7 linked regions of the Oryzias latipes genome follow. The main gene of each other region encodes a partner of the protein of the gene in region 2 in a complex. Links are inferred from orthologs where the notes say so. Each region holds a gene or a part of one and is shown on either strand. Other genes may lie near its edges.

The links.
Region 1: prpf3 (region 2) and snrpd3 share a complex: the UniProt entries of both Homo sapiens proteins name them as parts of the U4/U6-U5 tri-snRNP complex. The link is inferred for Oryzias latipes from reciprocal best matches to the Homo sapiens genes PRPF3 and SNRPD3.
Region 3: prpf3 (region 2) and lsm7 share a complex: the UniProt entries of both Homo sapiens proteins name them as parts of the precatalytic spliceosome. The link is inferred for Oryzias latipes from reciprocal best matches to the Homo sapiens genes PRPF3 and LSM7.
Region 4: prpf3 (region 2) and lsm5 share a complex: the UniProt entries of both Homo sapiens proteins name them as parts of the precatalytic spliceosome. The link is inferred for Oryzias latipes from reciprocal best matches to the Homo sapiens genes PRPF3 and LSM5.
Region 5: prpf3 (region 2) and lsm8 share a complex: the UniProt entries of both Homo sapiens proteins name them as parts of the precatalytic spliceosome. The link is inferred for Oryzias latipes from reciprocal best matches to the Homo sapiens genes PRPF3 and LSM8.
Region 6: prpf3 (region 2) and lsm2 share a complex: the UniProt entries of both Homo sapiens proteins name them as parts of the precatalytic spliceosome. The link is inferred for Oryzias latipes from reciprocal best matches to the Homo sapiens genes PRPF3 and LSM2.
Region 7: prpf3 (region 2) and prpf6 share a complex: the UniProt entries of both Homo sapiens proteins name them as parts of the U4/U6-U5 tri-snRNP complex. The link is inferred for Oryzias latipes from reciprocal best matches to the Homo sapiens genes PRPF3 and PRPF6.

The regions. Positions count from the first base shown.
Region 1 is NC_019870.2:16,128,696-16,133,645, reverse strand, and holds the start of snrpd3 (small nuclear ribonucleoprotein Sm D3), read left to right. Parts: upstream 1-1,937; 5' UTR 1,938-2,067; intron 2,068-2,854; 5' UTR 2,855-2,875; coding exon 2,876-3,001; intron 3,002-4,453; coding exon 4,454-4,646; intron 4,647-4,779; coding exon 4,780-4,844; 3' UTR 4,845-4,950. UniProt on the Homo sapiens protein: Plays a role in pre-mRNA splicing as a core component of the spliceosomal U1, U2, U4 and U5 small nuclear ribonucleoproteins (snRNPs), the building blocks of the spliceosome.
Region 2 is NC_019874.2:18,950,601-18,954,650, forward strand, and holds part of prpf3 (U4/U6 small nuclear ribonucleoprotein Prp3), read left to right. Parts: intron 1-229; coding exon 230-360; intron 361-1,091; coding exon 1,092-1,259; intron 1,260-1,936; coding exon 1,937-2,020; intron 2,021-2,099; coding exon 2,100-2,335; intron 2,336-2,439; coding exon 2,440-2,558; intron 2,559-2,640; coding exon 2,641-2,828; intron 2,829-2,946; coding exon 2,947-3,113; intron 3,114-3,220; coding exon 3,221-3,303; intron 3,304-4,050. UniProt on the Homo sapiens protein: Plays a role in pre-mRNA splicing as component of the U4/U6-U5 tri-snRNP complex that is involved in spliceosome assembly, and as component of the precatalytic spliceosome (spliceosome B complex).
Region 3 is NC_019862.2:8,272,180-8,276,897, forward strand, and holds lsm7 (U6 snRNA-associated Sm-like protein LSm7), read right to left. Parts: upstream 3,304-4,718; 5' UTR 3,197-3,303; coding exon 3,191-3,196; intron 2,958-3,190; coding exon 2,867-2,957; intron 2,772-2,866; coding exon 2,700-2,771; intron 1,068-2,699; coding exon 925-1,067; 3' UTR 656-924; downstream 1-655. Other genes in the region: kelch-like protein 24, read left to right, coding at 3,594-4,503, 4,630-4,718. UniProt on the Homo sapiens protein: Plays a role in pre-mRNA splicing as component of the U4/U6-U5 tri-snRNP complex that is involved in spliceosome assembly, and as component of the precatalytic spliceosome (spliceosome B complex).
Region 4 is NC_019878.2:23,646,782-23,650,438, reverse strand, and holds lsm5 (U6 snRNA-associated Sm-like protein LSm5), read left to right. Parts: upstream 1-1,479; 5' UTR 1,480-1,552; coding exon 1,553-1,598; intron 1,599-1,659; exon of another isoform or gene 1,660-1,674; coding exon of another isoform or gene 1,675-1,714; intron 1,715-2,163; coding exon 2,164-2,259; intron 2,260-2,339; coding exon 2,340-2,367; intron 2,368-2,435; coding exon 2,436-2,508; intron 2,509-2,584; coding exon 2,585-2,617; 3' UTR 2,618-2,800; downstream 2,801-3,657. Other genes in the region: psme2 (proteasome activator complex subunit 2), read right to left, coding at 2,959-3,039, 3,340-3,426. UniProt on the Homo sapiens protein: Plays a role in pre-mRNA splicing as component of the U4/U6-U5 tri-snRNP complex that is involved in spliceosome assembly, and as component of the precatalytic spliceosome (spliceosome B complex).
Region 5 is NC_019881.2:23,243,545-23,248,312, reverse strand, and holds lsm8 (LSM8 homolog, U6 small nuclear RNA associated), read left to right. Parts: upstream 1-1,754; 5' UTR 1,755-1,956; coding exon 1,957-1,987; intron 1,988-3,040; coding exon 3,041-3,081; intron 3,082-3,170; coding exon 3,171-3,298; intron 3,299-4,016; coding exon 4,017-4,107; 3' UTR 4,108-4,454; downstream 4,455-4,768. UniProt on the Homo sapiens protein: Plays a role in pre-mRNA splicing as component of the U4/U6-U5 tri-snRNP complex that is involved in spliceosome assembly, and as component of the precatalytic spliceosome (spliceosome B complex).
Region 6 is NC_019862.2:27,136,656-27,141,302, forward strand, and holds lsm2 (U6 snRNA-associated Sm-like protein LSm2), read left to right. Parts: upstream 1-1,338; 5' UTR 1,339-1,456; coding exon 1,457-1,459; intron 1,460-1,644; coding exon 1,645-1,712; intron 1,713-2,831; coding exon 2,832-2,862; intron 2,863-2,948; coding exon 2,949-3,008; intron 3,009-3,910; coding exon 3,911-4,036; 3' UTR 4,037-4,365; downstream 4,366-4,647. UniProt on the Homo sapiens protein: Plays a role in pre-mRNA splicing as component of the U4/U6-U5 tri-snRNP complex that is involved in spliceosome assembly, and as component of the precatalytic spliceosome (spliceosome B complex).
Region 7 is NC_019865.2:15,457,625-15,461,053, reverse strand, and holds part of prpf6 (pre-mRNA-processing factor 6), read left to right. Parts: intron 1-801; coding exon 802-924; intron 925-1,059; coding exon 1,060-1,181; intron 1,182-1,325; coding exon 1,326-1,464; intron 1,465-1,561; coding exon 1,562-1,681; intron 1,682-3,075; coding exon 3,076-3,252; intron 3,253-3,329; coding exon 3,330-3,429. UniProt on the Homo sapiens protein: Involved in pre-mRNA splicing as component of the U4/U6-U5 tri-snRNP complex, one of the building blocks of the spliceosome.

The sequences.
Region 1 (4,950 bases), on a different chromosome or scaffold from region 2:
GTGACTGTAAAATGCCTTTAAGGAAGGTAGTAAAGCACTATATTAGTATGTACATATACTGTTTACCATTTTCAATGTGGTCATGGTTGAAGTTTATCTTGTAAACAGACAGCAACATCATACCAAGAGTGTGAAGAAGAGTTTTGTCTTGAAGGGACCCATCTAAAGTCTGGATCAAAATCTCCAACATAACATCTCTGAAGATCCCTAAATCCTTGATAGCTGTGTAATTGTCTTGCTAAATGTGAACAAACAACCGGGAAAAAAAACAAGTTTTTATCTGTGCCACCATTTAACCCTTGTGCTATCCTAGGCAATTTAACATTGGGAGTTGGGTCATCTAGACCCACTAGACAGTGCACTGAACCTTTTTTCTTCAATGATTTGTGATCTTCACTGGTGTCCATGGATTACATGAAATCTTTCCACCTTTATCCACCTTTGTCATGGTAGGGAGAACATGTCAAAGTAAGGGTGGGGTCATCTAAGATAACACAAGGGTTAAAAGAAGATTTGACAAGATTTACTATGGCGATTCATGAAGTAAAATGTCAAAAAGCAAAATGAGAAGTTTTACACACTCCACATGACATACAGCTTTCTTTTGATCCGTGCTATTTGTTGTAACGGCTGTCTGCAACAGCTGAGGAAACGAATGTAGTCTGAGTACAATCTATAGGTGTGCACTTTCCCCTACAAAGTGTTTACCTCTAAGTAAATCCTTTTGCTTGCTTGATCAGCAATTGGATAATTGCCTGGCAACAAAAGCTGACAACCCAGATCAACATCTAAGTGACATGATTCAAAGGCATCAGTGTAAACAGGCCTGTTAGCATCCACCCAAAACAAGTGCTTGTTTGATCTCTGCAAATGTCACTGCTCATGGCTGGACTGGAACTACGTTCAGAGTCAGGTTAGCATGCATTAAACGCCTGAAACCCTCATGGACACGTAAAGTAGATACACATGACCACACGCTGCACAGGTACAGGTGTTTACAGAGTAGCCTGTCTGCTGACGCCAGTCAATGACCCTGTTGCAATGGAAATCAAATGATGGTTCATTTGGTGATGTCTTTTATTATCCCATTATGCTTTGTCTTTCCTCATTAGAAACCTCTTCCAGCGTGAGAAAGCCCCGCATTAAGCAATGTTTATGCGTCTCACTGAAGTGGTAAAAAAGACTAGTCCACATAAATAAACACGCAAGGGTATGTATATGATACGTAAAGTCTGTTCATTCAAAAACTATGTAGAGTAAATGTTTATAGCTCTCTGTGGTCGATGAAAAAAATCCATTTGAATTGATTGAGTCGTTTCATTTTCATAATCTCTTCTTGCTGGGATGTTTTGACAAGCATATGTGCCAGCTATACACGTGTTCGGGATTCAAATCTTTCACATAAAACAAATAAGGAAAAGAGAAAAAACATAGTGAGGAGGATTATGGAAAAAAAACATGCACCACTGCAAGGAATCAATAAAATATTTTTACAAATATCTATCCAGTGTTCCATTATAGTTGATTTTTTCCAATGAGTAATCATCAAATTAAATTCATGTTAATCTAATTCAGGACAAATAAACAAGTCATTTTTTATTGTGTACATTTTTAATCTGTTAACGTTTCATGATTTCTATTTTTGTTTGAAAGTCCAATGTCCTATAATGATTGGTATTCCTGGACCTCTCTGAGGCCTTTTGATGAAAATTAGTTTTTATTTACTATTACTACTACTTCCAATACTACTAAAAAAGAATAATAATAGTACAAAAAATAATAACACTTATTATTATTATTGTTGTTGTTGTTTCTCCTTAACCATCTTTCTGGTAACTGGCTGACTCAAGTGAGTCTACATTCTGTTTGACCTAACACACCTGGTTTAGGTAATCAGAATCAACTACATGTCCCATAATGCACGGCGAAAAGCGCCACAGGAAACAAACGCTTTGTTGGTGCATTGTGGGTAAGCGGAAAAAAGGCTCAAACGCCAAGCTCAACGACTAGCCCACGTTGCTGAGCCGCTAAAAAGAACAACAATTCAAGAATTCAAAGGGAGTTGAAGTAAGACTTTAAACCCTAGCTACTAAAGCTAGCAAGTATTATATTGTGGTTGGTATTTAGCTGTGAATGTGATTCAGAATTATCGCTTTTTGTCTACATTGCCTCCCATTTGCTAAGTTTCGAATATGTCCATCGCTCCATCCATGCCTGATATTTAGCTTGTGTCTAAAATAATTTGCACGTTTGAGTCCCAACAATGTTGGGTGTGAAGCATTAACGTTAAATATATTGTGGTGGTTTACTTCCCACAGTTTTTAATTAATGTTTTGTTTCGCTTGAGGCCAGTAGTTGGTGGCTAGTTAGCTAACGTGGCTAGCTAAGCTAGCCATTAGCGTTACTACGTTTTAAAAGTAATCCCGAACATTTACCTGATTAAACTGTGTAATCCAAAACTGAAGAGTTTTCTGCAGCACTTGATTTCTCTACGTAGAAATAATACCGTCTTGATAAACAGTACAAGAAATAAATCACTAACGAGGTAGCTTAGCTAATGATAATGGAAACATTGTTATACTTAAGTGCCTTTTTTGTACGTTTTTTTTTGTGGGTGTAAATTACCTTATTTACAGCACAAAACAAGTCTTAAGTATGTTCTAACAGTAAATATTACTTCCAAGCCAGACACATGCAAACATAATAATCATAAAATTGGATGAATGAATTGCATGTTGTAGACTTTCAGTAGCCTTCTGTAAACAAAGACAATACCGTACGTCAGGTTTTGTGATAATACTGTATGTTTCAGTGCCCTTTACCGTATGTTTTGTCTTTTTTTTTAATTTAATAGCCTAGAAAGACCGTTTCCAAAATGTCCATTGGCGTACCAATCAAGGTCCTGCATGAAGCAGAGGGACACATTGTGACCTGTGAAACCAACACTGGAGAGGTTTACAGGGGCAAACTGATCGAGGCTGAAGACAACATGAACTGCCAGGTTTGTATGGAGTAACGTCCCCCCCCCAAAAAAAAAAAGCATGCCGTAAATTTCTATTTAGAGTTCAACTCACTGTACCACACTTGAGAAGAACATTTTAAATGTGTAAAGAACACAAGAATGTTTTTTTAATGGACATTTTATTGTTGGCTGCCCCCCCCCCCTTTTATTTCACATACTTTTTGGAAACAAAAATGCCAAAGGTATTTTAATGCAGTTTATTGCACCAACTCTTATTTAGACTTGCACATTTGTTTTTTTTGCTTTCACAGGAATAAGTCTAGAATCTACCAATTATAACAAGCAGGTGATGTAGAACTATTTGAGTAGGTTTGTTGAGAATGTAGTATTTTAGTAAAACAATTGCGGTGAGACAAACTCATGTTATACTTTCTTTCTTTCTTTTTTTTTTTTAAAAAACAGTTGTTCAACATGTTTGTAGCGAAAGACAAATCGGTTACTCCTCTTCGAAGAAAAATCTCTCCCGGTTTCTTTGTCCCTCAAAATCTCAGCCAACCACACGTGTGTAACGTATGATTGATTGATGTAGTGACTTAATTACTCAATGAGATCAATGGTGCTTTTACAGTCAACAAAACATACTCCCTTTTACTAATATGCATCAGGTCAGTGACCTGTAGGGAAAAACAAAAACCATAAATGATTTATCATTACCGTTGGAAGTAAATAGAAACACAGCACTAAGAAACCAAACGGCCCTGTGTGGAAAAAGGAAATTATGTTGGATTATTTTAAAGTTTTGGGACAGGTTGCCTTTATGACCTTTGTTTTTTTGTTGTTTTTTTTGGGTCTCTAGTTTTGGTTGCACATCTGTAACAAACAAATCTGGAATAACAATTTTATTTTATTTTGTAAATTTAAGTTGTGTTCTTTCTATTAACTGACCCAATTCACCCCCCCCCCCTAAAAAAATCTGTATAGTTATCTGGTCATATATGCACATTTGTCCTTGAAATATTTAAAGCCATTTTTCTTAAAGTATTGAGTACTGTAACTAAATATATTTCCCAAACATCCTGTCAATGCTGATAGTCTTTTCAAGCTTCATTAGTGCAGTAAAAGTTTAATAGACTCCAAATCTGTTTATTTCATTTAAAAGCAGAAATTTTGGTGGATAAAGCTCAGTGTGTCTTAAAAGTACTCTAAAGATAAGTGTGAAGGCTTTAACAAAACGCTAAATATTCTAAAACGTATATTCTGTTAATAATTGTAGATTTCTTATTAATCAAATGACAAATCAAAAAGGTTGTTAGAAATTATTTTAAGGGATTAAATGAAGTATCTACAAATGTGTTTTCAAATAGAGAACTGCATTGCCAAGTTTAACAGATAACTTAAAATGTTAACCTGCATTCCATTGAACACTGTAAACGTGTATCAAGCCATTTTACGAATCTAAGACCGGAACCATTTATTTCTATGTCCCAACAGATGTCCAACATCACAGTAACCTATCGTGACGGGCGGGTTGCCCAGCTGGAACAAGTGTACATTCGTGGCAGCAAGATCCGCTTTCTGATCTTACCAGACATGTTAAAGAACGCTCCAATGTTAAAGAGTATGAAGAACAAGAACCAGGGTTCTGGAGCAGGAAGAGGCAAAGCGGCCATTCTGAAAGCACAAGGTGAGTGGTTCCTAACCAATGCTGATAAATGGTGTGTCCACTTTTCCTTATTCTTGGTACACCCTGCTTCCTGAATGCTGTTTTTTTTTTTTTTTTACTGAATTATTTCTGAATTTGTTGTCTCCCTTTGCAGTGGCTGCAAGAGGCAGAGGTCGTGGTGGAATGGGAAGAGGCAACATTTTCCAGAAGAGACGATAGCTTTTCCTTTTCAATGTTTTTATTTTTTCTCATGTCGTTTACTTGAATGACTTGTCTGTTATTTGCAATCTTGTCTTTGCAAGTTAGTTCTTGAATTTTTCTTTTT
Region 2 (4,050 bases):
ACAATTATCACAAAAATGTCTGTGATTGCGGAGGGACTGTAAATCAATACAGACTATAGAGTTTCTCCTTTTTTTTATTTTTGGATGCTTGTGTGCCGCAGGAATTTTGTCAAGGATAAAGTGTGCCTTGGCTCAAAAGAGGTTGAAAAACACTGGTCTTATATTAAGAAATGATTATCAACGAACTGTTGAATACATTGTTAATCATTTGACTCTTAATTGTCCTCAGACCAGTTGCGTCCCTTCCTCGAAGACTCAGCTGGTGGATTTGTTGAACGTCTTTTTGAAGCTCTTGAGGAAAGTAGAAGCAGCCGTGGCAGCAAAGGATCTGGAGAAAAGAACCGGAAGAGAGAACTTAAGGTAAATTAATGAATAAAAATTAATGATTTAGGCCTGCACAATATATTGCAAATTTATCGTTATTGCGACATCAAGCTGTGCAAATTGCATATCGCAAAGGACTGCAAAAATTGCAATAAATTGTAACCTTAAATGTTATGGTAGCTTGAAGTATTTAATGAATCAAATAAATCCATTTATGCATTTGACCAATCAGATGGAGGTCTTTATGTTGTTGACCAAGGTAGGGTACCAAATTAACCTATGAAGAATGGTTTTGGGATCATCATTCTTTTATATTGAGAAAAGTCAGTCAAAAACTTTTGCAATACCTGTTTATGGGAACTGAGCAGCTCCACTGGAGCAATTGTGGCTGCTGTCACAGTAAGGGTCTGACTTAAGAGCACAGCGGTAGGGTTATGGGTTACTTTGTCCCATCTAAGTTTAATCTCACTAATTCTGGGAGTTGACTAGTCAGTTACTTACCACTAGTCTTCCACTGCCAAATATGACTGTATTTACTGTTTAATAAAATAAAAAGAAACCTTACTTAACTTCAGTCACACTAATTCTGTTGTTTCTGTTGAAAATGTCAACCCCACAACATTTTTAAGAATTAAGATCAATCAATCAATTTCACATTGTTTTTTAAGTTGGAAAAATACTGTGTAGGCTATACGCTCTTTTTTGTTCACTAATCAATATGTTTGAGTGTTTAGTTTTACTTATATTTGTGCTTTGACCATTCGTAGGATGTATTTGGGGAGGAGCATGACTCTGGTGCAAAGAGGGAAACATCTGAGACAGCAGATGGGACGGTAGTAAAGCGAAAACGAACACCTCGGTTTCAAGAAGTGGAGGAGCCTGAGGTCATCCCAGGACCTCCTTCTGAAAGCCCTGGCATGCTTACCAAACTGCAGGTACAAGACAAATGGCATAGATATTATGTGCTGAGTCATCTGTGAAAAATACTTCTTTATTTGGGATTTTCAACATAATATGGTTACATGTATGGTGGGCGGGTTACTTCTTCAGTATTTCTCTCAGGTATGTGGTAAAAAAGGAGGAAGATGAAATGTTTATGTGACTAAAAATGTTAAAATAAGCAAGAATATAGCTTGTTTGGAGTACTGTCATTTTGCCTGGGCCTCTGTGTTATCATTACTTTAATGTTCCTATTTATCTTCTCAACTAAACTATGAGCAGCTCCAGTAAATGTATTGTAAAAAATCAATTCTTTGTTGTTTAAACTGTGTCAGTTTTCCTTGATGTACTCCTCAAAGAAAATCCCCAAAACGTTTAAAAAGGATGAACAAAAAACAATAATTTTCAAAGTAAATATGTACACCTAATGAGCAGTATTTAAATGTATCGCTTTCTGGTTTTCATATAGATTAGAAGGGAACATATATTTAGTCTTTGTGTTGATATTGGAACTTTGGAGTACCTTTTACACATTAATTGTTGTATTTTTTCCATCTTGCATGGTTTGGGATTAACAGTATTGCAAATGTGTTTGTTACTTATTGATTTTATTTATGAAGTATGAATTTTTAGAGATAAATATTTATTTTAAAACCATGATACTTTCTTTCAGATCAAGCAGATGATGGAGGCTGCCACAAAACAAATAGAAGAAAGGAAGAAACAACTGAGCTTTTCTTCGGTCCCTTCTGCTGCAGTAATTGTTATGCACAATCATGAACAAAAATCAACAACAGTTTTTTGTCTCTAACTCAGTTTTCTTTTTAACCTTAAAGTCACAGTTGGATGGCTCACGGCTTCTGGGCGCCGCTGGTGCCTCATCTGTTGCCCCCTCGCAGGCTGCCAGCTTTATGAATGATGCTATTGAAAAAGCCCGCAAGGCAGCAGAGTTGCAGGCCCGCATTCAGTCCCAGTTATCTGTGAAGCCTGGTATCCTGGGAGCCTTGGGAAACACCGGACCTCACAACCTGGTAGCACTTGCTAATCTACATGCCATGGGAATTGCTCCACCGTGAGTAACTTGAAGATATCTAATTTATTGGGGGGAAAAACAATAGATTGTGTATTTGCTTTCTGGATACAAATAATCATTTGTATCTGTTTGTGAAACTGAAGTAAAGTGGAGATTAAGGAAGTGAACAAGCCAACACCCCTCATTCTTGATGAGAAGGGAAGAACTGTTGATGCCACTGGCAAAGAGGTTGAACTTACGCACCGCATGCCCACACTCAAAGGTAGGTCTTCTGGATCGGTGTGTAAATGTGTCTCATCATTACTGCGCTTTGACTTCATGGACCACTATTCCTTTTTTTGCAGCTAACATACGGGCGGTAAAGAGGGAACAGTTCCGTCAGCAACTGAAGGAGAAACCTAGTGATGATTTGGAGTCAACATCATACTTTGACAACCGTGTGCTCATTACGCCTGCCCAGCGCCTCCGCAGAGGCTTCAAATTTCATGAGCCCGGACGGTTTGAGAAGATTGCCCAGAGAGTTCGAACCAAGGTTGGTGAAAAGCTTGACATTATCATCTCAAGACCTTTGTTAATTATTCAGAAATACAATTTGGCAATTCAAAAACACCTTGTTTGATGCCTTTTGCATAAATGTCTTTGCCCATTAGGCCCAGTTGGAACGGCTTCAGAATGAGATTTCCCAGGCTGCTAAAAAGACAGGAATTCAGGCTTCCACCAAACTGGCATTGATTGCGCCTAGAAAGGAGATTGGAGATGGGGAAGTACCCAGTATTGAGTGGTGGGACTCCTTCATCTTGCCCTCCAACATAGTTTTGTAAGAAAAAAAACTTTAAAATGTTTTTGCAGTTTTTAAACCAATATGTTAACCTTATCTGTGCATTTCTTTTAGTTTGGTTAACTTTATTATTTTTTCCTATTTAGCAAACCGGAAACGAGGTTTGATAACGTGGAATTTTTTGGAGTAACAAACCTGGTAGAACACCCTACACAAATGAGACCTCCTGGTAAGTTTAGGTGGAAAAGAATGTGTTGAGAAATTACAGTTTCTGCCCTGTGATGTTGATAATAGACTGTTAACAGCTATTTGTCATGGATGTTTCGAGGATACGTCTTATATCCATAAGATTTTATGTGTGTTTTTCAGGAAAAAACAGGCAATTTATGAATTCCTTCACTATTCAGTGCATAGTTGTATTTATAGTTCGTTCGCCATTTTGCAGTGCTTTCAGAATCTACTATTTCAGAATCGAGTGCCCTAAATTTTTTTCCAGACGTCTCTGCAAAAAAACAGTGTGCATTGATGCTCACTAGATTGGCGAATATAGACCATAATGCATTGCGTTCGAACAATTTTGCGAAAAAAGTGTTTAGATGCATTTTTTTATAAATAAACAATCAATGTTTTCATTCTCAGTGGATTCATAAAAAGTCGTCATAAATTTAGATTTTCACTTCGTGAAATAGGTGATGTCATATTTGCTGTTTGCCTTTAAAGTCCAGGGCAATAGATTGTCCTGCACTATAAAGCTTTTTAATTGTAGTAATGAGGGAACTCTGACAAAGCCAGACAGAAAGCTTTACCGTAAAGTAAGTATCCTAGTCCAATAAACTTTTGAAAAGTGATTTGTTAACCACTAAATTAGAAAATTGTAGCTATATCTGATGAAATCCACTGTAACATGTCCTCAGCTAACATCCTGTTAGGCACCCCTTGCCAGACTTAATCCCAGTTTTGACTGTACAATATCTAA
Region 3 (4,718 bases), on a different chromosome or scaffold from region 2:
TGACCAGGGCGCGCGCTCCTCTCAGCCGAACCTCCGCGAGGAGACGGGCCGGCGGGTCCGCTATATGCTCCACCTGATCCGGGGCGTGCCGAGCCTCTCCCGAACTCAGTCACTCGGTGTTGTTGACTCAGAAACGGCAGCTTGAGCTGCAGGAATCCCCGTCTCCTCCCAGCTCCATCCGCTGGGATCCCGTTGGCCACACCTCAGTGTGTCCAGGAGCTCCAGGTAAACAGGTGAGTGCCTCACCTGACCAAAGATCTTAAAGAGCTCTAGGAGGATCCGCCGAGTTCTTCCATCAGGGTCCCAAAACCCACAATAAAACTAAGGTACAATTTATCCATGAAAACTAGACATTAAACGCCACATTTTTTTCTGCAGAATTTGATTTATTTTAACTTATTATTGCAAAAATTCTCCATCATTTAGAAAAACAATGTAAACATGGGTGTTAAGCACAGTATCCCCACTCTGCTTACAGCATTTCTAATTTAAAGTCGTTAATGCCGCAGATTTCTCCCTGTGTGCCTAAGCTTTCCCATTCCAAACACAAAAACTCCCTTCAAACTGACAAAAGCTCACTCAGGGTGTGAAAAGGAAGATGTGATCCAGCTCAGATCACTGCAAGGAGCGACTGCACCCAAAGATAAAAACAAACTCCAGCATAGGTTTTCCTTTTATTTTTCTTATCAAAAACAAACAGTAAAAAGCTCACGTTGTTCCTGCATAAAAATGAAAAGGTTTGCACTTCCGTAGCACATGAGCTCTTTAGAACAGAGGTTCCAACGTCTGGACACCACAAACAAAAGGGAAGTGCATTCAAAAGTCATTTTTACTGCTGATTCTCCAGCTTTCTTCCATTAGGTTGGTTAAAACAAAAACAACAAAAATAGAAACAAAACAAAGGTCTAACACTTCATGGGCGATTTAGCCGTCTTGCTGCTGTATGAAGGGGTTGGGTATGGCCTCCATGCCGTCCTGAGGACAGATCAGGACGACGGAGGTTCCTCTGCAGACCACCAGCCCCAGCTGCCTGGTGTCTTCTGTCAGCTTCAGCTGGTCGTCTGGATCTGCACACAGACACACAAAGGGATTGTAAATGCCAGAGGATGTTCATCTTTATGTTGCAGTTTTTGTACATTTAAAGAGATTTTTATTGCCGTCAGTAAATGTGACAAATGCTTAACAGAACAAGAGTCCACAGTTGATCCGATACTAGAGGAAAACAATATTACAATGCAAAGAGTTATTAGTTCAAACACAAAAACATTTTTTTCTAGCTAGTGGACTCTTAATGTTAAGGAAATGCTTCAGAATATGATAATGACCTATTAGAACCTATGCAAATGGGAGATAAAAACTTTGGTTTACGGAAAAACACGCCAAGTTTTTAATCGTTATTAAACGCGAGTTTGATGAATTATTATTATAGTTTTTAACTGGAGATCAATACAATTAATTTACTTAGTTTGAAGAGTGAAGGTGAAATTCTTACTGAAAGAAAAGTTACAATATTTAGAAAGGAGAATTAGAAGAAAAAACATTCTTACAAAAAACAGTTTTTCGCCATGGCGATCAAAGTAGCTCCAACTGCTCTTTGTGACATTTTAATGCAGCCAAATTATATATACGTTTAAAATGTGTTTACTTTATTAATCATTGTTAATCCGGCATTAGAGAGTGGGCTAGTGTTAATTTTCTCTCGACTTTAATGTGTCTTCATCATGAATGCTCATCATAGTAAGAAATAATGAGGTCATGTTATGTATTTGGAAAACAAAAGTCCATCTTGTTGATGGTTTTTCTGAAAAATATGAATAACCTTCTTTATGAATCTTTAGAGACATGATGCAGACATGATGCATTCATGATGACAAACAGGACATTTTTTCAAGATGGGGAATTGTGATTAGAAAACGCAGTTCAAAGTTTGATTAAAAACAAAACATTAAGTCCTAAAATACCTGTCTTAGACTACAGCACAATAAATCAATGTTTATTGAAAAAGTTCAGTCTCATTTTAATTTCCAATTTAACTTTTTTCAATTTTTATTAAAGCTTTAGTTTTTAAGAAATACACACTTTTGTAGAACTGATGAATTAAATTAACGCTGATGTTTTTCACACTTATTTACGAGTAAAAACTGCACAAGAACAGATGGAAATTCACGTATTAAGTTCAGCAAAGATGCATTTATCAGAGTCATTAGTGGTTTTACCCAACCCTAACCATTCCTCCAGGTCTGTGAGGCCAAGAAAGAAGTTCTGCACCGGCTCTACGTATTTAGAAAATTATGTGGGAATAGTCACTTTCATAAATTGAAGAAAAATAGAACTTTAAATACAAAAAATTGTAAATATTATAAAGGCGAACAGATTGGCTTCTCCTGTCTGAGAAGGCACGAGAAAATCGTTTAAAAAAAAAAAAGAAAATCTTGCGGCTTTGATGAGTAAATATTACATTTTTTAAATGGAGATCAATACAATTGATTTACTTAAAAAAACAGTTTGAAGAGTGAAGCTGATATTCTAACTGAAAGAAGAGTTACAGTATTTTTGGAAATGAAAAAGAATTAGAAAGTTTGAACCTCACAGCCTGAGTCCACATAACAGTATCAGTAAACCATGGACTAAATAACTCCTAACTACTTAATTATTAGTTCTCCATTAAGAAAAGTGGGTACACGTGAGTTTTCACTTACCACGCATGTACTCAATTGTACCGTCCAACACCAGGTTCAATAGAGGATCGAACCCTTTTAGAACTCCGCTGGCTAAAGAGGGAATAAACAAAGTAAATAATTATATTCTGACATCACTGTGAATATTCTGGTCACCACAAGTTACAATCTTTCGACAAGCCACCTACCCTCCCGTCCTCCTTGAAACTTCACACGAATTGGCTTGTCGATGTATTTGGACAAGTCAAAGATGCTCTCCTTCTTTTTCTTTTCTTTATCCTGTAAAGAAATGTCAGTTTCCAAGATTAATGCACAGTTTAAGGCGCAGACCCTTAGCCTAGCATTAGCTTAGCATCACTGACTAAGGCAGTAACAATTTCACAAATAAAACGGCCGTTACTTCAGAAATGTTATTCTCATTTCCTCAAGTATTCTATTACTGACTAACACCAAATAGAAAATGTTCGGTGAACAATAAGAGAGAAAATTAAACGAAATTATTTCGCACTCACCGCCATGTTTGAAGTGTGACCCGGAAGTTAAACTTTGACCCCAGATACAATTTAATAGCACCAATCACATCGCCGTAAACTCGCATCTGACGTCATCTGAAGTTATTTGCACTCAAAAAATAAAATAAAAAAATGTTCTTAGCTTTAGTTTTACTAAATAATTGTATTTTAATAGTAATTTTTAAAAAAACTTTTACTTTTCAAAGTTGACCTCTTTCTTAACTGCATTCTCCGGGCAGGGGCGTCTATTAATAAACAAAGTACACACCAGCTGGTGTGTTGGGAACCTACCGTAGTTGTGATCCAGAAACAGGACAAAGCAGTAGACTTGTTTTACTCTTTACAGTGACTGAAGTGAAGTTTCAGAGCTTCAATCAATCTTTTCCATGAGTTAGATAACACAATGGACGAAGATGGATATGCTTTTCATGTGGAAGACCCTGGGCCGGATTTTATTCCAGATGCTGTCCTACGGGTAGAGGAGGAGAACTTTTACGTCTGTCGGGAGCACCTGGCCCTTCAGAGTCCATACTTCAGAGCTCTGTTCTTTGGCTGTGGTGTGGAAAGCCGCAAAAAGCTTGTTGAGATCAAAGGTGTGGGTCGACAGTCTTTCAAAGTTTTGATAGAGTACAGCAAGACTCGCCGTCTGACTTTGGACCATGAAAATGTTCTTGGGATTCTTGAGACTGCAAACTATCTACAACTAGAAAAAGCCAGACTGCTGTGTTGCAAGTTCTTGGAGCGCGAGCTACACCTCACGAATTGTTTAGGAATGATGGCCTATGCATGGCAACTGGGCTGCTCTCAGCTTTATTCTGCAGCCCGGCAGGTTGTGCTCACACACTTCCCTGCGGTCTCAGCTGAAGAGGATTTTCTGTCCCTTTCCAAGGAAAGTATTGCTGATCTACTTGCCAGTGATGATCTGGCTCTCCACAAAGACGATGTGGCGCTTGAAGCCACCCTGCGCTGGGTTTCGTTTGATCCTAAACGAGAAGAACATTTTTTAGAGCTAATAGAGCTGGTGAGACCAGAGTCTCTCTCCTTAGCATTTATTACCCAACTTCTGACCAGAATGAAAGGTTCTGACCCTCGAGCAAGGCTCATCAGCAAGCTGAATGATCACTTCCCAGCCTCTTGGTCAGTAGGCAGGTCTTTGAGGCGGACCAAAGCTACAGAGACTCTCTATGTCCTGGGAGGGCCTCATGATCAGGAACAGCAGGCACTGTATCAGTTCCACCCTCTGAGCGGTAGATGGCAGTGCTGTGCACCTTTGCAGCAGAAGAATCTAACTCAGTACTCAGTAGCTGCAGTAGGTAATATCCAATTAAGATTAAAGAGAATGCTTTTCTTGAAATCTCAAATGTGAAATAAATGTATAAATTATATTACATTATAAATGTATAAAATAAATGTAAATTTAAGGTGTATTTTCCATTTAGGAAACAACGTGGTTGTGACTGGAGGCCACTTCAGAGATGTGCTGTGGTTCAGTGTGGACTGGGTGAAGATATACGAATGTTCAAATCAG
Region 4 (3,657 bases), on a different chromosome or scaffold from region 2:
AAGGAAAGTGAATCAGTGGCTCTCCAAAGATTGATCTTTAAGAGGAAGGATTTTGAGATAAGATAAGATAAGATAAAGCTTTATTGTCATTGTACAATCACACTTGGTACAACAGTACAACGAAATTGCAAACTGTCCCACATTGGTGCAAAGAGAAAGAAGAAAACAACAATTATCTTTTACACACAAAAAAGTATAAAAAATAAATAGATACATATATAAATATATACTGCAACTTCCAGCTTTTTCTGCCACAATTGACACAAAAATGGATGTGAGATTGTGGAAGGCTGGGCATGCTTTTACATTTCAACATGTTGACGAGCCTTTTCTGCTCTCTCCCATAAATACTCCTGTGGAGAAAATATGTCTGTCCGTTATCCCAGAAGAAACATTATTTCAAATTAACATTGCATCTCTACCTCAGAGCATGTCTTATTGGAATATGTTTGCTGATGATATTGCATGGAAGGAGGTTTGGCAAACCCCTAATAAACGCTTGATCACCAATTAAGTAAAATAAGCTACTTTTAGGATTATCCACAGAATTTACCCAGATACAATTTTCATTCAAAAAAGATTAGATGAAACATTGATACATCTGTAGTTTTTGCTGCAATTCCCCTGAAACAGACATCCATCTTTTCTGGAATTGTCCTCAAGTTAAAGTGCTTTGGTAGAAGATTTGTGATTTCATACATGACAAAATTGATTCTTGTTTTGTTTTATTCTGGAAACATGTTTTGTTGGATCTTATATCAAAGGATACACAAAAGGACTCTGGTTGGCTTTTAAATCTCTTGCTCATGTTGGCCAAACAAAAAAAAAACAGTTACAACTTTTTTTAAATTGGTGGGTTTTTATATTATGTTCAGACCCCATTTTCTTTGTCTTTCACTTTTTTTTTAACTTTATTGACAATTGAGGTATCATACATTAAATAACGAACAATAACCATGTAATCAACATTACCTTGAAGATCAATCACCATTGCCAAACATAACATATTAACAAAAAAATAAAGAATAGAGAAAAACAAAAAAACAATGAACATAACACACAAATAAATAAAAACGAATAAGTAAAATAAAAATAAAATAAAAGAACATAGATCCAATCTAAATAGTCTAATACTAGTTAGGGGTACTCGTGAAGTTTGTATTTCTGAACAAAACAAAGCAATTTCAAGTCATTCTTCTTTTTCATATAATGAAGTGATTTGAAGTAAAAAACAGAGCTCTTTATGAAATGTTATAAAAAGTGTTTTGGTCTTCAAATATTTATTTTTGTGTATATAAAACTTTCCTTGCAACATCTGGATATTAAGAACACCAAATAGAAATTTTTCTGCGTGTAAATGAACTGGCATTGCAATTTTGGAAGAATACCAAAAGCAGAATTCCTCCCAGAATGTTTTTATAACTCCTTTGTCTTACACCTAAACAAACGTTGCTGTTCAAATAAATACTCCACGTTCGATTGCTTTTGCCTGCTGGACTGCGCTCATTTGTCGATTGGTCGGGCCTGTGCGGAAGCGTGTTCGTCAGTAAACATGGCAGCCACCCAGGGCACGAACCCGTCCCAGCTGCTCCCACTCGGTCCGTAAGCTTTAAATTAAGCCCGTTTTCTATCCGGGGTCTGACGGGGATTCACGCAAAACTCCGGGAAGTGTTCATGCGGGGGTCAGAGCCGGGGCCGCTGCGTGGTTTGAACGGTCTGACAATGGCGGGCAGGAGTTAGCAGCTAATTGTTCGTTAGCATCGAAACGCTCATGCTGTTAAAACTACGTTAAAGAATGACACTTTTTAAGTCTTTGGGTGTTTGTCTGATTGTAATATATTTAATTCATCGATTAATATGGTCCTGCCGTAAAGGGTTCGTAGTTGACGCGCTTTTTGAATTGCATAGCAATGCTGCAGCTAGCCGCTCCTTGCGACCGTGTTGCTAATTAGCCCAAAAGGAAACGTTTTCACCTCGTCATTCATTATCATTAATATTATTAGGATGTACTACTCTTAAGAGATGGTTTTCCTTATGTTGGATGCCTTGCGTAAACTTTATTTTAAACAAAAAGTTAAGTTACAGACACCTGTTAAAATATAAAATCAGTGTGGTTTGTAGACTGCATGCATGAAACTGAAATAACTGTTCTTCTTTCTTCAGAGCTTGTGGACAAATGCATCGGCTCTCGAATTCACATCGTCATGAAAACAGACAAAGAAATCGTCGGAACCTTGTTAGGTTTTGATGATTTTGTCAGTATCCTTCATCGATATTTTGGTATCAGTGTTGTGCTGTTTCCCTGTTTGGCCCACAGCCGCTCCTTAACTCTGTGTCAGACATGGTGCTGGAGGATGTGACAGAATTGTAAGTATCTTGTTTTCTTTTTTTTTGTGTACTTGGGGCTTGCTGTTGATGTGTTTTTGTTTTTCCAGTGAAATCACACCGGAAGGCAGGAGGATAACAAAGCTGGATCAGATCCTCCTGAATGGAAACAACATCACCATGGTGAGAAAGCAGTCGGTGGGAAGGATGGGGGGGGTGTCGCTGACCGGATCTCTCATCAGAATGGTTCTCTTTGCAGCTCATCCCAGGTGGAGAAGGCCCAGACGTGTAGATGTCAAGTTTTCTAAATGTACATACATCTTTGGTTGTTCTGGATTGATGTTAGTTTGCGGATTTCTCTTACTGGACATTTTGTTTTTAATATTTTTTAGTTTTGATTCTTTAAGGTTTGAATGAATCACGTCAAGGACAGAAAAGCTCTTTTTGTTATAAATAAACCAGATGATTAAACACAGTTTGATTTACAAGTTTATTATTCATAGGTTCACTTTAGTGCAATTTTCTTTCCTGTTTTTAAAAAGTGTTGGCATCCAACAGCAGTAATAACAGCTCACGGTTCATGAAGTCTAAATCTAAAGTTGCGCTCCTCCAAAACGGCGTACCGCTGCCGCCTCAGTACATGGAGGATTTCTCCTCTCCTTTTGGGTTGGTCACCTTTTCCAGGTTTTTGTTGATGATGTCGTACAGCTCGGCCTGAGGAAGTGAGAAGCTTGTTTGAATGAAAAGGTAATACACTTTAGCTATAAAACACCCCTAAAAACACATTTTCTTATATAAAACTAGGAATTTAACCTTTTTTTTGGTTAAAACCTTAAATACTTTCATTAAAATCCTACATCTGAGTGGAGGAAGATTTAAAAAGAACTTGTTTTAATCCAAGTAACTTCTTTTTTTTGTAAACCAAACAATTTATGCTACAAGAATCTCCAACTAAAAGTGAGCAAAAGTGTCTGGAATCCAAAGCATTTAGCGGCTGGAGCTTTGTCGTCTTACGTAGAAGCCGCGGATGTCGAGGAGGATCACCCTGAGGTCAGAGAAGAGCGCTCTGTCCTTCTCATGAACCAGTGAGCGGTAGTCCATCTGAGGGCAACACAACGACAGTTAAAGGTGTTTCAGGACGTCCGAGCCCATTGGCTACTGGGACATGATTGACAGAAGTCAAAGTGACGCCATGTAGGTGGAAGGTGGAGCAGTGTTTGTGAGACCGCCGTCAGAGTCGGAGCTGTGCTGACCAACGCATCATCTCAGATGCTCTACAAGCTTTCAGTTGTGCTAACTGAGTATTTTAGGTTCATTTGTCTGCTGCTATGT
Region 5 (4,768 bases), on a different chromosome or scaffold from region 2:
CCTAAAATACGTCACAGTTGTTGGCTGTAGAAGCTCCAGTTCTCCGCTAACAGGAAACACCTGAATTCAATGCACCTAAAAAGGTGTTCTGGGTCAAACCAACAAACTGACCCGGATTCAGATGAGGGAGGTCTGCTGCCGTTCTGTTCAGAACACGGTTGTCAGGGTTACCTCTGGGTCAAAGGTCACAGAGAACCCTGATCATGAACCCAATCATCCCAAATGTTGCTGTGTTCTGTTCAGATGCTGTTTGCACACAGGTCACATGATGCCACCCACGGGCGTGTTCAGTGGTCATGGCTAAAGGGGGCGTGGCTTAAGAGGGCTCAATGAGTGAGATCTAAAGCCATACACACTGTGTTTGTGCGTATGTTCTAACCGTGCGTGTGTCATTGTGCGTGTGTGTGACATTGCAAGGATTTGCACTCCAGCTCGGCAGTACATCCACCCACCCACACTCACTCACGCACACACGCACGTGCACAGCACTGCCATTTAAATAGTGGGTCAGAGTCGTTTTCATGTAGCTTCACCAACCAAACTGTATGTTTGTTTTCTTTAAAGGAACAAGGATGTTGTAAAGTATTTTTGTACAAATTTAATACTTTGGTAGCATGAGGTTCCTGGTGTTTGTCCCAGTCCCGTCAGCCTTCATTCACCCCCCACCTCCCACCCCACCTTCTGTTTTTTTAATACTGAGCAACAATAAAGTGAGACGGGAGGCTGTGACTCCACATGTGGTCTAACATTAGCACATGCATTCAAACGTGTCTGTTTGGGTTTCCTGTCATGTATATAATGTTTCACATTAAACTGAACTAAAGTTTTACATTTGTAAAAATCTCTGAGTCAAAATCTTCTTCAGGAAATCTTAATTTCTCTCTTGATCATCCGAGGTCGTCCAGGACGCAGAACAGATGATCAGGTGAGGTTCTTCAACCGGCCTGGTCTGAATGTTAAAATGGAGATACGTCTCCATTTATATCCCATCATCCCTTTGTTTACGCTCTCTCCCACTAGCTTACAGCCCCTCACAACCCCAACTTAACTTTACTAGTGTAACCGTACAGCAAGCAGTATCAGAGCTTGCCATCCATCCAGGTCTGATCCAGATTCCAGTTCAGACCAGGAGAACGACGACGTTCATGGATCTGGTGGATGATCAGAAAGGGGCGGAGCAGGAAGGCTGTGGCCCCGCCCATCTTTGTTGCTGCGTAACAACTGGGAGTTTTTTTCAAATGGCATTTTTTTTGCTACTGATTTACGATTTTAATAAAGAAGTACTTAGAAACGCAGTTTTATCTTAAATAATTTTATATATGCTCTCCATTACGAGAAAAATGCTACAAGAACATGTTAAAAACATCACATCAGAGTGGGTCTTTAAGGAGAAACTGAAAACTAGGCTAGAATTAGTTTTGGATCCTAAACCGTTAAGAGAAACGTGAAACCGGATAATGACCACATCTAATGATTGGTTCTGATGATGCTGGAATGTGTGAAGTATTTGTTACAAAAATAAATTTTAAGAAAAACAGCCTGAAAAGTTCAGATTGGAGCTGTCATTTCATTTAATTGTATGATTATTTGTTTAATTAAGTTCTTTAAACAAACACTTTTTAAAGCAGATTTTAATAATGTGTGAATGTGTGAGGATGGAAATTAAAAGTAAAGAACAGCTCAAAAACAATTTCTCCAAACTCCGTCCCAGGTGGTGACACTAATGCGCCAGCAGGGTGTTTGCTAACCGCCAAAAGAAAACACAGAAGAAGAAGGAGGACATGCGCATGCGCGCTTTGACGCCTCAGCTCTATGAATCTGTGTGAGATTAGCTGAGCCTGGCTGTTGTTAGCTGCCGCCGTTAGCCTGTGCGGTGTTTTTGCGGGTTCTCTTAGCCTGTTTCAAACGCAAGTCTTCCCGCCAGCTGGATAAATAAAAAAGGAGCTCCGGACAAACATGTCCACCGCGCTGGAGAGCTACATCAACCGTATCCTTCCGCTGCTGCTAGCGGCTAACAGGCTAACCGCCGTTTAAATGAATGGAGGGCTAACTGCTAGCTTAGCGCGCTAACGAAAACTCGTGTTTTGTTAAATATAAAGAGTGTAATTTAAATGTCTATTTAGTAGGCTTAACTAAATTCATCTTTAGATTTCAAACACTGTTTATTTTGTGCTTTTGTTCGGGTATCGTGCAAAAATAAGAATTTGTAGCCTTTTGGGTTATTTTCAGCAGAAAGTTTAAACCAGATTATTTTTCTTATCGTTTCCTGATTATTATTCATCGATCATTGGAGAACCGGGTTTGTCAGTAGAAGTAAAGAATAAATAATTAGGAGAAATGCTCTTTTATATTTCCTTAGATTATTCCTAGAGATTAAAGAGATTTGCATGAATCTCTTTAGTTCTGGAGGAGGATCTCCTCACAGGAACCAAAACATTCTGAGAACTTCATGATGAATATCAGGAATTCTACTTCTAAACCGCTTTTATTTTCCCAGAGTTCATCTTTTTGAAAACATGCTGCTGGTTTCCCCGCGTGTCTTCAGTGAAACTGAATCTTATCTTACAGATTCGTGCTAATTTCTCCTACATCCCATAATTAAATTCGTATTTAAATCAGCTGCAGAGAAGTTTGTTTTGCTGAAAAGCAAACCACAAAAAAACAGTAAAAAGTAACATCACACTGACTCAGTTTAATCAACTCCAATAAAAATTGTGTTTCTGATTTCAATTAGGCAGCAGTGGATGCAGTTTATTCTCAGCAACAGAAAAGCAGCTGTGAAGGTTTTTGTTCTTTGAGGCTGAATCTGTACAGCATGTTGTCTTTTCCACCAACCAGAAGTCGGGGCGGGGCTTCGGTCACCTGGGCTCAGTTTTTTCTTAAACTTTTTCTCTGCTGGTATCTGGAGTCCAGGGGACTTTGGATCCGACACTTCGCTCTGAACTCAGAGGAAAAGCTGCTGTAGAGATTTTTGAGCTTCCTAGAAGCTGTGAGGTGATGATGTGTTCTGGATGAGTTTCTTTGACCGATGCTGGCTCAGGTACGGTGGCCATCGTCACTTCAGACGGCAGGATGATCGTGGTGAGTTCAAATGCTCCTCCTGTCCTCGGCTGGATCCGCTCTTTTCGGTTGGAGCCCAGCCTCATTTTCTCATTTCTGATTCTCTTCAGGGAACTCTGAAAGGCTTCGATCAGACCATCAACCTCATCCTGGATGAGAGTCACGAGCGCGTCTTCAGCTCCAGTCAGGGCGTGGAGCAGGTGGTGCTGGGACTCTACATCGTCAGAGGAGACAACGTGTGAGTCTGAGACCGCCGGTCCTCCCATCAGAACACAGAGAAACAGGAAACAGTTGAAGACAGTTGAAAGGACATTTGATCTGAAAACAGCAGGTAAAAGCAGCTCAGCAGCAGAGTAGAGCGTCTACCTTCAGCCCGTGGGTTCGAGTCCACAGGTCGACAGAATCCTCCCCCTCCAGGGGCAAAGAGCCGCTCTGATGAAAATGCTCTTCTTCTTGTAGAGGTTTTCTGATGATGGAGGTCATAGATTCAGATCATTGAGATCAATTTCTGAGTTTTTCTTTAATCAAATTGTTGTGAATCAGGAGCAGACGAAAAAAATGCTGATGGGAAAAAATTACATTTATAGCGTAGAAAATACTCTGGGCGGGGCCACAGTCTCCCTGCCCCGCCCCTTTCTGATCATCCACCTGCAGACCAACAGATCCATGAACGTCTGTTCTCCTGGTCTGAGCTGGAATCTGGATCAGAACTGGACGGGTGGACCTGATGTTGCTGCTGTTTTTGTTGTTCCATTAATGTTAAGATGGGGGGGTGAGGGGCTGTAAGCTAGCAGGAGAGAGTGTAAACACATGGATGATGGGAAATGAAGATGGGCTCACTCTGCACTGCGAACCATCTGAAAATAGATCAGAAGCTGGTGGGAGTGGGACTTTAGCCCCCCAGCGGGCTCTAAAGGTCATTCTGACGGCGTGGCGATTCTTTTTTTCCTCATCAGAGCGGTGATCGGTGAGATCGACGAAGAGACCGACTCCACGCTGGACTTGGGGAACATCCGAGCCGAGCCGCTCAACTCTGTGGTTCACTGAGCTCACCGTCTCCACGGCAACAGTGGACTCAGGGGGAGGGGTCTGCTGCAGCGGGAGCCGTGGAGATGAAGATCTGAGGGTGATCAGAGTCTTCCTCCTCCAACAGACTGTTCTGATGTTTCCACGTTTGTATTTTTATAAAGGAGGTTTGAGTCACGGTCTTCATCTCCAACAGAGAAAAGTTGAATAACGTTGGATTTGATTCTTTTCATTTTGCTTTAAGGTGAAACCAAGACTCAAAAAAAGACTTGAGTTTGTTTTAAAGCACAAAGTTCTGCTTTTCTTCAGCTCCATGTTCTCGTCTTTCAGGGAAGAACAAATAAATGTGTGAAAATGTTTTCCTTTTAGAGCTTCTGTTCTGAAAACTTTATTAGCTATTTTTTTTAAACAGACGTTTATTTTATTTAGATATTTGCTTTGCTTTATTTGTGATCATGGAAACTTGAACTCATTGTTTTGTTTTTTGTCCAAAACGTTGAAAGATAGAAAAAACATGAAGCTCCGCCCTTGAAGCTAACATCCAATCAAATCAGTCGTAGCGATAAACTGCTGGAGACTCCAGCATTTCTGCGTAGGAATGATCTTCTGTTTGACAGTCAGCTCACCCGTTTATTGGTTCAGGCCGTCTTCCCCCGTCCTATCAGGATGGTTTAGCTCATAG
Region 6 (4,647 bases), on a different chromosome or scaffold from region 2:
AACATTTATTCATTCTGTAAAGTCTTTTTAGAATAGGGTTAGTTTTACATGATAGTCTATAGAGAAACTCTGTTTTTGCTTTTAATGATCCACTTATCTACCTATCCATCCTCAGAACCCACTGAATCCTTTAACTGAGCAACTGTTGAGTAAAGTTAGTGGACCACTACGTCACTGTGCAGCCCTATATTTGATGAAAATGAATTAAGTTAACAGTTGCAGAAAGACTCACTCTATCAAGTATGTATCTTGTAATAAAAGAATTTCCAAAACATAGGAAAATTCATAAAAGGAGTAAATGGTCCAGAGTTATCTCACCTGTTTGTTTTTTATCCTGAACTAGAGTCCACTGAGACACCGTCCACTCCACAGTTTAAGCACATTTAGTGGAATTTACCCGTGTCAACAACAGAAGACCCAGGAGCAACGTCTTAACTTTCTCAAAAACAAAACAAAAGAACTTTTGAATTAATAATTATTTTAAAGATAAAACTGTGTACATTCAGTTGTGATTCGTTGCTATAGAGTTTTCTGTTTCAGATCAAGTTCGTAAACCATGATGAGTAAAGAAGCTGAAAAGATTTGTTAAAACATCTGAGTGCTCGACACTGCCCCCGTGTGGTCTTTCATCAGAATACAGAAAGAACTCTTGAAACAAAACGGTCACAATTGTGTTCATTTTCTGATTTTTATTGCATCAAACTGTAGATAAAATCAGAAAGACATTGGAGAAGAAACAGAATAAAACTCCAAATGGCACTGGAGACCAAAGGTTCTTTAAATTAGAAGACGTAAACAATAAATATATCCAGTTTTCATACAGAAAACTTTCAGCATTAAAGCATGAAAAGCATGCTTTCCTTTGACCAGTATAGAAAAACACAATTTCTTTACAAAGATTAATATCGTTATTAATATAGTTTAGGTTCTATGTTTTTATTACGACCCTACGTTTTTTTTTTGTTTTTTTTTGGTGGCCCTAAAACTCCGTCGTAATTTATAAAAGAACATTGAGGAACAAACTTAATCCTGATTAAAAACTCTTGCAGCAAATTATAGACATTTCAGGTTTGTGTTTGTGTGTGTTTTTAAATCACAGTAAAGGTCTGCATACTACAAAAAAATAAAGTTTTGAGGTACAAAAAGTATCACAAACATGTCTGGTAGCTAGACTAGAAGCTAGACTAAATCTGAATTAGACTTTTGATATTTTATTCAATTTTTTAAGAGATGGCTCATAATGTTTTTTATGTCTTTTTTTTTTAAAGAAATATGAGTGAAAGCCTAAATTTAAATCTCGGTCAATGAAAAACACCTGATAGTTCCTTAATAAACATTGAACGACAGTGTGTCTCCCTCTAGTGGCGCAAAGTGGTACTCACTCACCGCTGAAACACGGCGCAGGCTGATACGTCATCAACAGCAGCCAAACCTTCTGTAGAACACCACAGCCAAAATGGTAAGGCGTAAATCGTCATTTTAAAATGTACTTTTTTAGTTTAAGTCAAACATTTTAGGTTTCTGAGTGTCAGAATTCTTCTGAATTTCTTTTGTTTTGTCGCTGAGTTTGCTCGCAGTGTGCTGAGCCGCTTTGTCGGCCCATCATCGTGCTAACATCGTCTTTTTTTTAAAAAAAATCTACAGCTTTTCTACTCGTTTTTCAAGTCTTTGGTTGGGAAGGACGTGGTGGTGGAGCTGAAAAACGACCTCAGGTTGGTTTTGATAACTCAACATACCAATTTGTTTGGTAATGTTTCTTTTCAAAGCGCCGTTTGTGGTTAAAAATGGCGCGTGGTTCTGCTAGCGCTGTTTGAATGGGTGCAGTGAAGAGCTACTTAGCATTGACAGAGACATTGACTCTGTCAGAGTTGCTGTCTTTCCTTCTAGCTGGTGTTTTGCATCTCATGCTGGTCACAGTGGCGTGGGGTTGCCATCCCTTCCTTCCAGCATTTGTTGCAAATCTGGCTCAATAGGTTGGTGCCAGCAGCGTGAAAAATGTACTTTTTTTCCTGTTAGTTTTCTGAGCTAACTCTTGGTCTGCAAACGTGCTGCAAATTCATTTTAGACCTTTTTCCCGAAGAAGTAGGGTCAATTGCGGGGGTGGGGGTGGGGGGTCAATCAAACTAGCTGCATCTCATGATGAAAGCTCAAAAGTAAATATTAAAATTAGCTTACAGTTAGTTGTTGGGCATTCTTTAAAGACGTAACTCATAATTCTTAGCTCCTCTCACAGATGGACGATACTTAGACATGTGGTACTTTTTTTAAAAACCCATCCAAATGAAAAAAGTGGTTTTGATGCCATAAGCTCCCTGCTCTGCTCCATTCTGATGCATCCACTTGCAGGCAAATAGATTTGTCCGTCTTTGTTTTCCTGGTCTGAGCTGGCACAAATAACTGTACGGCTGGATTGCTCCAATATTACTTTTTTTTTCTTTTTTGTTGCACACCTAATGTTGGGTTAAGGGGGGGGGGTTGTAAGTTAGCAAAGGATGATGGGAAGATGGGGCAGGCTTGCTCTGCACCAACGATCTCAGACAAATTTCTAGTGAACAACTGCTGCTCTGCAGAAACTGTCCTAGAAAACGACGCAGGTTTTTTTTTTATTTTTGGCTAAAAACAGCACATTTAAAGACCACTAGGAGCGCTTTAAAAAGATAAGAGTGGGATATAAGAAAAAACAGACTTTCCTGCAGCATTGACAATAGAAATAAATTTACTGAACAAAAACTTTGACTTGTTCAATACAAATTTGCATATTCCCAGAAAGTCATTTAACATCAAAAGTTCACTGTTGCATTGAAAGCTTCATTTTCTCTTTTTCCCCCCAGTATCTGTGGGACGCTTCATTCTGTTGATCAGGTTAGAAAATAATTAATTCTTTACTTTTTTTAATTAATCAATGTATTGGTTTGCAATTTAAAAATGTTGTTCTTGTCATCATCTAGTACCTGAACATCAAGTTGACCGACATCAGTGTGACAGACCCAGAGAAGTATCCACACATGGCAAGTCCTCATCTATGGTTTACTTTTTAGTCTAAAGTTTGCATAGAGGCCTCTAAAACATACAGTTGTTTTTATTCTTTTATTTCCTTCTGTCAGTATAACAAACATTTTTAAAGTTGTCTGCTGGGTGAGAAATGTAGAAGCACACCTTTGGAAGTTCAGTTTCAGTGTAGGGCAGAGCAGACAGCAGTTCTTCAGGTAAACAGCAAAGATTTAGAAACATTTTTCAGAGTTTCTAAACTACAATTTTTCAGAAAAACATTTAAAAATATGCAGAAGTTCTACACTCACTGCCCACTTTATTAGGCGCACCTTGCTAGTACTGGGTTGGACCCCATTTTGCCTTCAGAACTGCCTTAATCCTTGGTGGCAGAGATTCAACAAAGTTCTGGAAACATTTCTCAGAGAGTTTGGTCCATATTGACATGACAGCATCACACGGTTGCTGCAGATTTGTCGGCTGCACATCCATGATGCCAATCTCCCGTTCCACCACATCCCAAAGGTGATCTATTGGGTTGAGATCTGGTGACTGTGGAGACCATCGAGTCCAGAGAACTCATTATTAATAGATGATTTCAGCTTTGCTGCGTTCAAAATCACTTAAATCACCTTTTTTCCTCATTCTGATGCTCGGGTTGAACAGCAGCAGATCATCTTGACCATGTCTAAATGCATTGATTTGCTGTCATGTGATTGGCTGGTTGGAAATTTGTGATAACGAGCAGATGGACAGGTGTGCCTAATAAAGTGGCAGGTGAGTGTAAATGTGGTTATTTGACCCGTGAGAGTGGTGGGAAAAAGAGAAGTGTTAGCTTCTGAATCCCCTTGGATGTGTTCATTCTCTTCCTCTGGAAGGCGCCCTGCCTGACTCCGTGTCTCACGTGTTTCACGCTCTCCAGCTGTCTGTGAAAAACTGTTTCATCCGCGGCTCGGTGGTCCGGTACGTTCAGCTGCCGGCAGACGAGGTGGACACTCAGCTGCTTCAGGACGCCGCTCGGAAGGAAGCCATGCAGCAGAAGCAGTGACCGGGGCTGCGGGTTCGGGGAGGGGGGCTTTAAGTCATGGGTTCTTTATAGTTCAGTTTGAAGAAGACCGCTGTGAACCGCCTCCACACACTGCGCCGGTCGATGGAGAATTGAGTGCATTCCTGATGTTGGCGATGGGCCAACTGCAGGTCTGTGGGTTTATGGACATTTTCTTTACTTCTGAGGCGGTTTAGGATCTTTGTCTTTTGTTTCATTCCTATAGAGTTTGGCCTAAAGTGAAGCCTGCAGATGAGACTCTGCCATTTTCCAATAGCTGTAACTTTTTTGTTTTTTAATGCCATTTGGAAATAAAATAATTTATATTTGGCTGTGTTGCTCCGCCTTTTTTTGTTTTGTTTTTTCTTTTCTAAGATGCTGGGGTGTAAGCCTGCACTATAAATTGCAAATGTATCATTATCGCCAAACAATCTTATGGCACCTTGAAGGGTTTAATGAATCAAATAAATCCCTGTACGCGTTTGACCAATCGGATGGATCCCTTTTGTAGATGACTCTTAATTAAATTAAACTGTTGACGGGAAATGGAAATTACATTTTTAGCTGTTTTGCTATTTATTCATGTGTCATAAGTTATATCGTCATCACAATAT
Region 7 (3,429 bases), on a different chromosome or scaffold from region 2:
TGAGATGTTTTTATTTCTAAAAAATCTGATCTTTAACCTGTAAATCTTCACATACATGTTAATTAGTAACTTGGGTTCATTTAAGGATTCGCTGCAGGAAGCGTCTTATTTTGAAACTGGCCTGCAGCTTTGGGCCACAATTCAAATTCTGATTTTAACTTGATTGCTTTCTCATTCATTAGAAATGAAGCTGCTGGCATGAGCGCTCATGCCAGCAGCTTTCATCTACATGAAAATATTCCTCTGCTAACCTTATACGTTAAACATAGTCATCACAGTTGTGATCGGATGGTGAAAAACCTTTATTTTGGTGAATGTCACTGTGGATTGTGCATCGTTAAAGTAACAGGAATATTTATTGAGGCTAAAGAGCCGCCGGAGATTTCAGACATCCAGAGTTCATGTCATGAATCCTTTGTCAGGGTTGTTCAACACATCCCAGGCTCCTCATCAGTTTCTCTGTTGATGTTTTTAAAAGCTGCCAGTAGAAACCGTTATTTCAGTAGTTTTTGTTCATAAATGTTAATAGTTTTTTGTATTTATTTAATCATGCCTGAATGTATTTACAGTTAGATAAAACATATTCTTTAGTGTTTTTCCATTCATGTTGGCGACGTGACAGTGTTATGCCACATATCATGGCACCTCTACCTCCATTCTTTACTGTTTGAGACTCCCTGTTGCTCAGTTCTAAGTTTGTTTTCAGCTGCATTTCTTTGCTGTATCAAATTTTTATTTCTCACATTATTTTCTGCCACCTTATCAGTCACAGTTGTTCCTCCGTCTGAATGTGTGCTGCAGGATGCTGAAGAGTGTGATAAAGCGGGCAGCGTGGCCACTTGTCAGGCTGTGATAAGGGCAGTCATCGGCATTGGCATTGAAGAGGAGGACCGTAAACACACATGGATGGAGGATGCTGACAGTGTAAGTTGGTTGAATTTGGAGCACAAGACGAGTCGGATCACTGCACAATGCACTGCTCAATTATCTGGCCAATTACATTATGTGATTTTATTTTTTTAATGGAGTAATTAAAGGCCTGTGGTTTTTGTGCTCCAGTGTGTGGCTCATGGAGCTCTGGAGTGTGCCAGAGCCATCTATGCCCATGCCCTTCAAGTGTTCCCCAGTAAGAAAAGTGTCTGGCTCAGAGCTGCCTACTTTGAGAAAAACCACGGGACCAGGTCAGTCTTTTTTTTTTTCAAACATATTTTATCATCCATGAAGTCGTGCTTTATTATCTTATTCTCCTTGCTTCATTTCCATTAATTGCATTCGATTCTATCTCTGTCACTTTTTGTTTTCTAACTTTTCATGGTGTGCCTCAGGGAGTCTTTGGAGGCCCTGCTGCAGAGAGCCGTAGCTCACTGTCCCAAAGCTGAGGTCCTGTGGCTGATGGGTGCCAAGTCCAAGTGGCTGGCTGGTGATGTGCCAGCAGCTCGAAGCATCCTCGCTCTGGCCTTTCAGGTGGCGATGAACTCCTGCAAACTCTGGACACATTATCATAATGATTATAAATTAGCTTTTAATGCAGACCAGTCCTTTGTTATTGTTTTCTTTTTAGGCCAACCCAAACAGTGAAGAGATCTGGCTTGCTGCTGTAAAACTGGAGTCTGAAAACAACGAGTATGAGAGAGCCCGCCGACTGTTGGCCAAGGCTCGCAGCAGTGCACCAACAGCCAGGGTGAGCGCCTGTGTTTGTTTATGCTCATTTCTCTTCCCTTATTAGGACCGTTGTGGTTACAACCATTCTTTTGGGAGGCGCTGGTCCTCCTGGGAATCAAAGTTTAGCTCTAAAGAGGAAAAACGTCATGTCTGCCATTAAAAATGGGGCCAAAATATCAGTAGTTTTGAAGCTGTACCTATAGAATTAGGTTTGAATTCAGACTTTGGAAAAATAAATGGAAGTCCTAATAAGGATATTGGAGTTTTAAAACTTTTTCTCCCAGACTTCTCCTAATACAAGCATTTAAATGGAGACTTCCCTAACTTTCTGATTTGCCTCCCAATATGATTGAACAGTTTATGATTAAATTAGCTCATAGTATAGTTATAATAAACCACATTTTTCACAAGATTGTCTGACAAGAGTCATGCCAGATTTGGCTATAATGTTGTGTTGTTTCCTGTCAGAAACCCGTTGTTCAATCATGATCTAAAAGAAGGTTGTCTCAGTCTTCTTTACTAATTCTGTTGAGGCCAGCAGTGTCAGTTAGTCATCTCCACTCACTTTGACAGGTGCTTTCAGAAAAGCCTGTCACCTGTCACCGTTGATCTTTATCGTGCTCCAATCCCGCCTCATATCGCAATTGTGTGCTGAGAGATGCCAACCTAAGAGAATCTACTCTGCTGTGGGCTGTGCTGATCCTGCTGTCAGACTGTTGAGGAAGCTGTTGATTTTTCAGGCTACAATGATAGAAAGTGGCATTGAATGGCTCACTTCTCAAGGCTGAAAAAAAGATAAATCAGAGTCCAAAATATAAAAAAACAGCCCAGACGTAACATCAACATCTGAAGAGACTCGAAAAATTTCCAGTTGAATATTTTATCCTGTACTTGTGTTGCCAATCACAGAAAAAAAAACATTTGATGGGACACATTTTAGGGTCTGTTGGTTCAGATACGCGTCTGATTATAGATGCTGAAATCCTTATTTTATTCCTTTTTGGGTAAAAGAGTAAAAGGTTTTATTGTTTTTGAATTGTTCATGTTTAATGTACTTGTTAAGTCTAAAATGTATATTAATTTATGTTTAGTGACCTATGTTCTTTATTTGGTAAAGTGAGTTTAAACTCCCGACTGCTTTTATTTTTATTTTTTTATAACAAAGCTCAGAAGTATTTTGCACTAATATAAATTAGCTTAATTGCAGCCATTGTTGTCGTTTTTTTGTGTATAGTGAAGAGTGTAGTAATCTTGTATGTTGGGACTGTAGCAGAAGTGTAAACTATTGTTTTATGGCTTTGTAACAAAGTCCAGACTTGAAATCTCTGACAGCCGGTATAATTCTGAATAAGGTCACATCCAGGCTTGCTGTGTAAAAAACACATTTGAACTTTTTCTTTTTTTAAATTTCAGGTCTTCATGAAATCTGTGAAGCTGGAGTGGGTGTTGGGAAACATAGAAGCTGCTCAGGATCTGTGCACGGAGGCGCTGAAACATTACGAGGACTTCCCCAAGCTTTGGATGATGCGAGGTCAGATTGAGGAGCAGTGTGAGAACATGGACAAGGCTAGAGAGGCGTATAACCAAGGGGTGAGGGGAAAAAAAAACAGACCAAACCTTAGGTGGATGAGCTCTTTAGGTGATAATTATCTTTTCTGTTTCCATAGTTAAAAAAGTGTCCACACTCAGTGGCGCTGTGGTTCCTGCTGTCTCGTCTGGAGGAGCGAGTCGGACAGCTGACGAGAGCCAGAGCGATCCTGGAAAAGT